2 linked regions of the Caenorhabditis elegans genome follow. The protein of the gene in region 1 purifies or fractionates together with the protein of each later gene. This does not show direct contact. Each region holds a gene or a part of one and is shown on either strand. Other genes may lie near its edges.

The links. Proteins that work in one complex are often made in the same cells at the same time.
Region 2: the proteins of mec-12 (region 1) and tag-151 fractionate together in Caenorhabditis elegans (co-fractionation; one large-scale study listed by BioGRID). This does not show direct contact.

The regions. Positions count from the first base shown.
Region 1 is NC_003281.10:3,136,227-3,141,183, forward strand, and holds the start of mec-12 (Detyrosinated tubulin alpha-3 chain), read right to left. Parts: upstream 3,009-4,957; 5' UTR 2,909-3,008; coding exon 2,906-2,908; intron 1,524-2,905; coding exon 1,301-1,523; intron 1-1,300.
Region 2 is NC_003280.10:4,708,568-4,714,242, forward strand, and holds tag-151 (Pre-rRNA-processing protein TSR1 homolog), read left to right. Parts: upstream 1-1,709; 5' UTR 1,710-1,726; coding exon 1,727-1,832; intron 1,833-1,920; coding exon 1,921-2,075; intron 2,076-2,123; coding exon 2,124-3,815; intron 3,816-4,131; coding exon 4,132-4,264; intron 4,265-4,316; coding exon 4,317-4,501; intron 4,502-4,859; coding exon 4,860-4,946; 3' UTR 4,947-5,123; downstream 5,124-5,675. Other genes in the region: tsn-1 (Staphylococcal nuclease domain-containing protein 1), read left to right, coding at 1-960, 1,013-1,207; F10G7.10 (E3 ubiquitin-protein ligase), read right to left, coding at 5,231-5,527. UniProt on the Caenorhabditis elegans protein: Required during maturation of the 40S ribosomal subunit in the nucleolus.

The DNA.
Region 1 (4,957 bases):
TGAGAGGGGAAGATGAGCTTCCTCCCGAGAGTATACTTTGTCTATTTGGGAAGTTGATGGAACATGGAACTTTTGGTTTTAGTTGCAAAACTAACGACAAACAAATTTTCTAGACTAACTTGAAACGCCTATAACTTTGCCGGAAGTTGAGTTAATAAAAAATTGTTTATTAACATATTATAGAGCTCAAAATTTCCTACAACTTGGTAGTTGTCAACTTTTTGATAGCTCTCCTCATCGCGGAGATATACGCGTTTAAAGTAAGAACAGTGAGAGAGTGTGGAGGGAGGGGAGACGCAGTCGCGCTCGTTGTCTGCGTCTCTTTCTCTCCCACGATCTTTTACAACGACACGTTAAAACGTTTGTAACTCTGCGTAGAAAACAGCTATCAAAAAAGTTTCAACTAACAAAATGTGAGAAATTTTGTATAGTATTTTCAGATACCCCAAATTTCTCTGAAAATGTTCAAAATTTCCTCCGTCAAATAGCAAAACATTTTCCATTTGCATCCCTAATAGGGTGTCCTACTCCAATTCCATTAAATTCTTGGAGAGAGTACATCCATTCATGTTAGCAGATGTGTAGTGTCTGCGTCTAATTACATCACAATGGGCTCGCCATTTGAAGCAAAAAGAGGAAGAGCTCTTTGAAAATTGAGCCGAAATGGAATTGGTGACGTTTTTCTAGGGTTTTCGGAGAAGCCTAATATCAAAAATTTTCCAATTGCGTTTTTTCGCAGAACCACAAAAAGTCATAAAGTTAGACCTTTTAACTCAAAATTTTAAAATTTTTTTCAGCTTTCCGACACCTTCAAAATACGTATAATCATGACCAGATTTCCAAAAAAGTTTGGTCCCGCCACGAGAGCTACAGTACCCCTTCAGAATTTTCATAGCTTAGTTATGTTTGCATATTCAAATGAAAGTTCTCAAAATGCCAAATATGAAAACCAAAAAAATTAGGTCTTGCGGTGAAACTGGGAATATTGCTGTGCCGTTTTGAAAATTTAAATTTTTTGATTTTCGAAATTTTTCGAAAATCCATAAATGTGCCAAAACTTAAAGTTTTGGGCGGAAATTAGAAGTTATAAATGCGTAAAGTCCTGAACTACGCAAAAATAATAATTTTTAACATCTCTGTAAGATTGCTACAGTACCACATACGTTTTCGTGACGGGACCCAAAAATTTCAGCATTTTCAGAACCTAGTCATGATTATACTTATTTTAACGGGCTTTTAACACTGATTTCAAAAATTTAAGTGAAAATTCAAAAATATCTTCTTAAAAAAAATCCCCCACCAATGACAGTTGGCTCCAAGTCGACCATGACGGCTCTTGGCACATGACGTCCACTTCCAGTTTCCGAGAAGAAAGTGCTGAAAGAGTCATCGGATCCTCCGAGGGACTTGTCAGAAGGCATTTGACCATCGGGCTGAATTCCGTGCTCCAGGCAGTAGAGCTCCCAGCAAGCATTTCCGATTTGGACTCCGGCTTGTCCGATGTGAATCGAAATTACTTCTCTCTGCAAGATAACTTTTTTTGTTTGTAGATTTTAAAGGGTTTTATTATAAAATTTGAATTCAGCAAACGAAGAGCTTCAAATTAAGCCCCATATTGGCTATGTTCCTTTAGATTTGGGTCCCGTCACGAAAGTGTCTACATGGGGTACTGTAGTTTTCGCGGTGGGACCCAGTTTTCTCAGTGAAACCTAGGCATGACTATACTTGAATTGAAGCTCACAGCGTGGTGAATTTGAATTTTTGAATCAAAATTTCAAATTTTCATTTTAAAAAGTTTACTACGATATCTGATATGTATTACAGGTAGACAGGTAGATCAAACCCTCTGAAAAATTTACATTCGTGGCGAATTTCAAATTTGTTCAAACCCACTATTTTATTGTAAAACTCAATTTTCAATAAAATTTCGCGGGTCTCGCCACGAAGAGTGCGTATTTCTTCTAGGAATAGTCCTCTCCTCCCTAAAGTTCCACCCGCAAAAAGAAAGAGAAAAAAGTCAATTTTCGCCCAAATTGGATACATTTTGTGTTGCTCGTCTCAACTCCTCAACAACCCTCCTTCGCCCCGTCCTGCTCGGCGCGGAGCATTTTTCAGTTGAATTGGCAACATTTCCTGTGTTTATGTGGTGGGGCTCCGGAAGTCCGGACCTGGCACCAGGTGTGCTCAATGAGTCGAAAAAATGTTGAAGGGGTGTTGAGGTGGAAGAGTTAATAAATCCTAAAATCCTAGTTTTTCAAAATCAAATTTCGAAAAATTGTTTTTTTTTCCTAAAATTGTTAAAATAATTTGTTTTGATATCAGGGTTCCTAACCAAGATGTGTCCTGATAACGCATACGCAGACGGCGATGGCGTCTGCGTCTCACCACTTCTTACACTATCTCGTCGCTAACTTTAAGTGTTTGTATCTCAGCGAAGAGCTGAGATATCAAAAAATTTCAACAAACAAAATGCAGCACTTAACATTTCCTACATTTTGTTAGTTATCAACTTTTTGACAGTTGCTTTCCGAACGGAGATATGCCCTGTTAAAGTTAGGAGGACTGGAATAGTGTGGCACGAGAAGAGACGCAGACAGCCCCCTTCCACACTGTTTGGCTTGCTACATTTTGAACGAGTATATCTCCACAGGGAAAAGAGTTAGAAGAAAAGTTTCAACTAACGAAATGTAGGAAATTTCAAGGTCTATATTTTGTCTGTTGACAAATTTTTAGTATTCACGTTATTTTTCTAGATACTGGTAGTTTTAACAAGAAATCAGATTCGTAAAGTTTTTATGGCGAGGTTTAAATGTTTCAAAATTCATTTTTCACAAGAATTCATTTCTAGCATCTCAAGAATCTAAACATTCAAATAAACATTGTTCAGAAAATCTAGAAAACCCACCATTTTGCAAAAGAGGAGCTACAAGTTGTGTTTGCTGGGCGACGAGTTGAGATGGAACAGAACACACACAAGTGGGGCTCTGTGCTCTGTGAGCCTCTTTTCTGAAGACGTGCCTTCTCTGCGTCTCTCCGTGTTGACACATGCTCCGCCCCTCCTATGTTTCTTTTTTTGCTCCGCGAGCTCCATGTTTAGGATGGGAAAGGAGACGACATGAAATTCCGAAAAACAGAGAAAAAACGAAATTAAATTAAAATGTTGCGAAATTGTTAAGAACATTGGTTTTGACATATTAAAATTCTGTTGAAAACTAATAAAATACAAAATAAAAAATTTCCTTGACAGTGTTTAAAAATCTTATATCTCTGCTGGTAATTAGCAAAATATAGCTTTTATGATGTTCTACATTTTGATATTTCCCATCGCGAAACTTCTACTTCATATAATTTAACTGTTACTGGGGAAAAAGTAACATATTGCCCAAAGGCAAATTAGAAAGGACTCTAAAGACCTAGTTTTGGTGAGAAGTTTTCAAAAAAAAGTTTCTACAATTTTTTTTAAATTTAAAATTCAAACGTACGTATCTCAAAAACCAGGTGAGTTATCAAAAATTGCCAACAAACAAAATTAAGCTCTTGAAATTTGATACACTTTGTAAGTTGACAACTTTTTGATACATTATCTCGTCGCGGAAATACATGTGTCTAAAGGAACCTAGGTGAAAGGTACATGCCAGGGTGTGCGGCAAATTTTCCGAAATTTGCCATTCACCGAGCTTGGTAAGTTTGCCGAATATTCCACAAAAAAACATCAAAAATATTAAAATTTTCGGATCCCAATTATTATTCTAGTTCAGTTTTTCAAAATACAGTTTGAAAAAAAATCGTTTTTTGTAGATAAAGCTGTATATCTCAAAAACCAGGAAAGTTATCAAAAATTTGTTCACTAGCAAATTGTAGACAATTTTTAGAGCTATACTTTGTTTGTTGACAATTTTTTCGTAGCTCTACAGGTTTTTGAGAGAAATCGATTAAAAAACAATTGAAAAAAAACTTCTTGCTTTGAAATTTTTTTGTAATTTTTCAAAACCTTTTCGCAAGTCAGTTGAATTTTTTAAAGTTTCTACATGTTAAAAAATTAATAATTAAAAATTAATTTTTACATTTTCCAACAACACATTCTTCTCCCCACCACTTCCACCAATTTCCAGCCATCTGCCCTCTCTGGCTCCGTGAGCCCTCAGCAAACAGTATCAGGTTACCCCTTAGAGACTCCGCCCAACTACAGTAATCCAAGGAAATAGTGTGTAAGGTGGAGAGAGCCGAGAGAGAAAGCCATCTGGAAATGAGCAAAAGGATTGGTTTACCGATGGAAATGGAAAGAACCTCCTAATGCATTCAGATTCAGAGCTCTGCGATGAAGCTTGCGGTGACTAGTATTCAGCTGTGTATTTATTGGCCTTTACTGCTTAAAATGTATTCAAAACTAGTATAATTTCAAAAAAATTCCTTTTTTTTTGTTAAATTTTAAGTTTTTCCCTACTACCAATAGGATCCTAGGACCTTATCACAATTTCTAACACTCAAATTTTGATGAATTTGGAATTTTTTGGGGGACTTGGGACCACTGTTGTATGAATTTTTAAGCTGATGATCTTCCTTTTTCATTCATTTTTGATAGGGTCTCATATTCTTGGAAGAACTGGAAAATGATAAATTTTGAGAAGAAAAGGCTTTGAGAAAAAAGAACGAAGGGAATTTTGTTGTGCAGTTTTTGAAAATTTTTGAAAAAAAATCGAAAAATCTCAAATTGTCTAGCTGAATTGTTTTTTTTTCAGTTTGTGTATTTTATTGATTTTGTAAAAAAGAGTTTGACGATAGCTTTAATTTTACAGAAAAAATTCGGCAAAAAATTTCAATTTCGATCAAAGTTAAAATTTCGAGAATTTTCAACATTTTTTAAACATTTTTAACATTTTGGAGTTAGCCCCAGTAACTTGCCGATTTTGTTCTGAAATTTAAAATTTATTGTAAATTGAAAATCCGCACATTTATA
Region 2 (5,675 bases), on another chromosome or scaffold:
GAGTTCCTATCAGGTGGATCTCGTCTTCGCATTTACATTCCAAAGGAGACTGTTCTTATCACGTTTTTGTTGGGAGGAATTAACTGCCCGAAGGGAGCTCGTGTTGGACCAGGAGGAGTATCGACTGGAGCCGCTGAGCCATTCGCCGATGAGGCTGCTGCATTCACCCGAAAGCTTGTCCTCCAACACGAGGTTCAACTAGAAGTAGAGAGCACCGATAAGAATGGAAACTTTGTTGGATACTTGTATGTGTCTCCAGATGGAAATACTTCACGAGCAATCAATCTAAGCGAAGCTCTTGTAGAGAATGGACTTGCTTCTCTTCACTTCACAGCTGAGCGAAGTGGGCATTACAACGCTCTTCTTTCCGCCGAAAACAAAGCTAAGAAAGCTAAGAAGAACATTTGGGCCAACTTCACGGAAGAGCAACACCAAGAGGAAGTTGAAGTACAACAGGCAGATACATCTGAGAGAAAGCAGAACTTCCGTCAAGTCGCTGTTACTGATATTGCTCCAGGAGCTCTTCGTTTCTCGGCTCAAAACATTGAAGATGGGCCAAAAATTGAAAAGATGACAACCGAGATGAGACAAGCTCTTGCCGAACATCCACCACTCGCTGGATCTTATACCACCAAGCGTGGAGATTTGTGCGTTGCCAAGTTCTCTCAGGATGGACAATGGTACCGTTGCAAGGTCGAGAGCGTTCGTGCTGGGCAAGCAGAGATTGTTTACATTGATTACGGAAATCGTGAGACAATTGAGGCTGTCAAGCTTGCTCAAATTCCAGCAGGATTTGCCAATTTCCCAGCTGGAGTTAGAGAATATAACCTTGCTCTTGCTAAGCTTCCAAACGAGGATTACGTCCAACTCACTTCTGATGCTTTCGCCCAGTACTTGTTTGGTCACTCTTCGGTATTCATTAACAGTGAGTACAAGGTCGGAACTTCAGAATATGTAACTGTAAGTTTTAATTTCTTTTTAATGTTCAAAATATTACAAAAAATTGTTTCAGGTTTATTACGACAGTGGAAACAAGAAGGTCGACATCGGTAAATCTCTTATTGCTGAGGGACTCGCTCTTGCTGATCACCGCCGTGAGCCACGCCTGCAGACTCTTGTCAATGACTACAACACTACCGAAGAAGTTGCTCGCAAGTCGAGAAAGAACATTTGGGAGTACGGAGATTTCACCGGAAATGATATCTAAATGTCTACTCAGTATTTTATTCAATTCGAACCCTGCCCTGCCCCTCCCCCAACCAGAAAAGTTTTATCCTCACAACACATATTCTTTTTTATTAATGAGTGTAACTGTGATGTATTGTACCCGATTCTAGTTATTCAGAGATCGCCCCCGGTGGTGGTTTCTCTTGTTTCTTGTTCAATTACGTATCTTTTCGTTTTTCCTACTTTCCACCGGGTTCGACTTCTTCTCCCCCCCCCCCCCCCCTTTTCCCTTTTTGCACCACAATTTTGTTGGGTTTTTCGAGTACATATTCTGAAGAGTATTTATTTATATATATTTATTGCTCTAATTTATTGTTTTCCGGTTTAAAAAATTCACTGTTGTAATCTGCATGGAATGAATAATTTATTGCCTTGTAGTTTCAAAGTATTCAGGTTTTTTTGTCAGTTGGTGTTGGTTATTATTCCAGGTACTTAATTATGATTTATCTAAGTATTCTAAAGTAAAGGAAATTTAAATAAAGAAACAATTATTTACCAGATGAGTACAACTGGCCATCGTGCGGGAGTGTTCAAGAAACCTTCAAAGCCCCACAAGTCTTGGAAAGGAAAACGGACGAAAGGAGAGATTACATCTGAAAATCGAGGTAATTACCGATTTTAAAAGTCCTTCAAATAGCTTCACAGGGATTTTTTCCCTATTAAACACTTATTTAAATTTATTTCGAATTTCAGGACGAGAAGGTGTCAAACAGCTCACGCGTTCTGCTCATTCCACCCACCGTACCATCTCCAAAGATGCTCGACGTAATCAGCTCAAAATGGCGAGAGATCAAAAAATGGCGGATGCAATGGAGAGACGCAGAACATCAAATGCTCCGTGTCTAGTGGTAGGGTTTTTTCAACTTGGAAATTAGTATTAAAACGACAATTTTCAGACTGTCGTTTCTCTCGGAGTTGGAGCTCGCCCAACAGAGTTCATCAAAAAGCTGGCAACATGTGACGAAACAATTATTCAAACGACTTCTCCATCCACCATTGACTTTGCGATTCCTCGCTTCAAATCTCGTGTATCATTCCTTACTCCAGATAAGGATAATGTTGATGGTGTTCTTGATGCGATTCGAGCATCTGATGTGCTTTGTTTTCTGTGGCCAATGTCTGCAGAGCTCTCCGAATGGGATGAGCAACTTTTAACGATTATCAAAGCAAATGGACTTCCAACAATTGTTAGTGTTGTTCCAGGACTTGGGAGTATTGCAAATCACAAGAAGAAGGAAGATGTTAGAAAAGGAATCGAATTTATCATTTCAAAATGGAGTATGAGTAATGCTGGAGTTATGCCAGCTGATTCTGTCACAGATAACCTTCAACTTTTGCGAATCTTGAATGAAACTAAAAAGAAGCCATTGACTCTTCAAGCCAGACATTCTTATATGCTTGTTGAAAACTTGGAATGCTCGGACAAAACTGGAGAAACTTGCACACTCGTCGCCCAGGGATATCTCAGAGGTCCTGAATGGAATGCTAACAATTTGGTTCATCTTCCAGGATTCGGTGATTTTCAAATCTCAAAAATCGAATCAACAGTCGATCCTCATCCATTAAAAGCACACAACAAAACGCCAGAAGCTCAGATAATTGCCAAATCTGATGATAAACGCCAGAACACAGAAACGGAGATCACACCAGATTCTATGGACGGAGAACAAACATGGCCAACTCGGGAAGAACTTGAAGAAGCTGATAAGGAGCTCCGTCGTGTGCCAAAAGGAACTTCGTCTTATCAAGCAGCATGGATTTTGGATGACGAGGATGACGAAGACGAAGAAGATTCCGATGAGGATATGGATGATAGTGATAATGAAGAAGTAGAGGATGATTCTGAAGAAGAAGAGCCTATGGATGATTTGAAATCAGAAGCCGGTGAAACTACTGCATCTGAAATGATGTTTGATGATGGAATTGATGAAGACATCAATATGGCAGAAGTTGAAAAATACCGAAAAGAGCGTGAAAATGCTCAATGGCCAGATGAGGTGGATACACCGATGGATATGCCAGCTCGAATTGCTTTCCAAAAATACCGCGGACTCAAAAGTTTCCGAACGTCTACCTGGGACCCGAAAGAGAATCTTCCACTGGATTATGCGAGAATTTTCCAATTTGCAAATTATAGAAACACCAAGAAGAATGTGATGTCAAAGATTGGTGGAAATGATGTAGATGCAGATTCAGTAGCCGATAAGAAGTTCAATGGAGCATTTGCAAGTGTTTTCATCGAGAATGTTCCAGTCGCCGTCCTAGAAGCTTACAAAGACGCCAAAAACTTGGTGCTCTTCCAGTTGCTGCCTCACGAGCATAAAATGTCTGTTCTCAATATGGTTTTGAAGAAACATCCATCTTGCACAATTCCAATCACTTCGGATCAGAATCAAAAGTTCATTTTCTATGTTGGATTCCGGCAATTCGAGGCGAACGCCGTTTTCTCATCGAATACACCTGGCGATAAGTTCAAGTTGGAACGATTTATGCCGACTGAGAAGACATTTGTGGCGACAGTCTACGCGCCGATCACTTTCAATCCGGCAACGGTGCTGTGCTTTAGACAGGACGATAAGGGAAGGCAGGTAAGAATAGAATGCGGTTCAAAATGAAATTATTTGCACGAAGTTGTTCTCATCTAAAATTATCCTAAAATTATAGATAATCACTTGTTTTTTCTGAGAATAACATTTATTTTAGCTAAAAAATTTGAGAAAATGTTCGAAAATTGCCTAAAAGTTGTCAATTGCCGATTTTCGCATTTTCGAGCTTTGGCTTTGCCAAGTTTCATGACATTTTTGAACATTTTCTTAAAAAATCTAGTGATTTACCATACTTTGACATTAATTATAAATGAAAAATGTTGGAACAACATCAAAAATTAAAAGAAAAACGTTTCAGGAACTTGTTGCCACTGGATCGATTCTCGACAGCAATCCTGACCGAATTGTGCTCAAAAGAACTGTTCTCGCCGGTCATCCATACAAAATTAATCGACGCGCCGTTGTTGTCAGATACATGTTCTTTAATAGAGGTTCGGCAATTTCAATTCAAAGTTTCAAAATTTCATTTTTCCCACTTTCCAGAAGACATTGAATGGTTCAAACCAGTCGAATTGTACACACCATCCGGACGTCGTGGTCATATTAAGGAAGCCGTTGGAACTCATGGAAACATGAAATGCCGATTCGATCAGCAATTGAATGCCCAAGATTCTGTGATGCTTAATCTCTACAAACGGGTCTTCCCCGTCTGGAACTATTCTATTTTTGTACGTAAAAATTCTGGAAATTAAAAAAAAAAAATTACTCCAAACTTGCCCTGGATTCCGAACATCTATGTTAAAAATTTCAAAAGTTTTTATCTCAACTTGAAGTCGTCCAAGGTTTTTTCAAACACCGAATTTTCACAGCAGTTTTGATTTACGAGATTTTTTAAATCTTTATTTTATTCTGATTTCAGTTTTTCAACGAGTTTCCTTCAGTTTTGTCGGAATTTAAACAAAAACTAAAAAGTTCTGAAAATCGAAAACTGAATTCAGCATGAATTAAAAAAAATTTCGGAACAAGGGGCAAATTTGGAATATTTCTAATTAAAAAACCCTATTTGTAATCTTTTAACTTTTACAGAACCGCTCCCTGAACCCATCTCGCTTCGTTGAACGTTCTCGAGTCGAAAGCATCAGTCTTGTCAATGAGGATGCTATGGAGGAATAGATTCCAATGTTATTTGTTGTGTTCTTCAAATTTTCTGTTAACTCATATTATCTTGTTGTTTTTTCCCCAGCTCCAATCGCTTCTTCTTCTTGTTTTTGTTAACTTTTTCCCGTTCTTTTCAGTGCTCCCATGTTCTTGTTTTGTTAAAGTTTCGAGACATAAAATTCAAAATGTTTATTTATCGAAAAGAAAACAAAAACATGTACAGCTAGAGAATCTAAATAGCCAGTTGAGTTTTTACAATTTTTTGTCATCTAATAATTTTCCACAACAATTCTATAGCTCTAGCGTTGAAACAAGTGACAATCCCGAATATTACTGGTAAATGCTTGTGAATTCGTCATATTGAACCATTGTGGAACCCGCTGCCATTCCTGCTCAGCCCAATCGTACTCGAGCCATTTGAGCCGCGATTCGCACAGGAATAACGGCTTTCCACGTTTCAGATTCCGATCCTCTTCCTTGTGAGCATCCAGGTAGATCGTACCCCATATGGCCGCCTGTTTGCCACGTGACACTACAACCATTGATGACGTCACGGAAAGGAAGAGACCCGACGATGAGGAACAGTCTTCGGCATGCTGGAAATAGGGAAAACAGTTTTAAAAATATAAGGACGCAGAAAAATCTGTGTGAAAACGCTCCGCCCCCAAGGGTTGGGTCTCGCTAGGTATTTGGCGGGAAAACCGTAAATTCAAATGTTTTCAATGTTTTTAATCGAAAAAAATT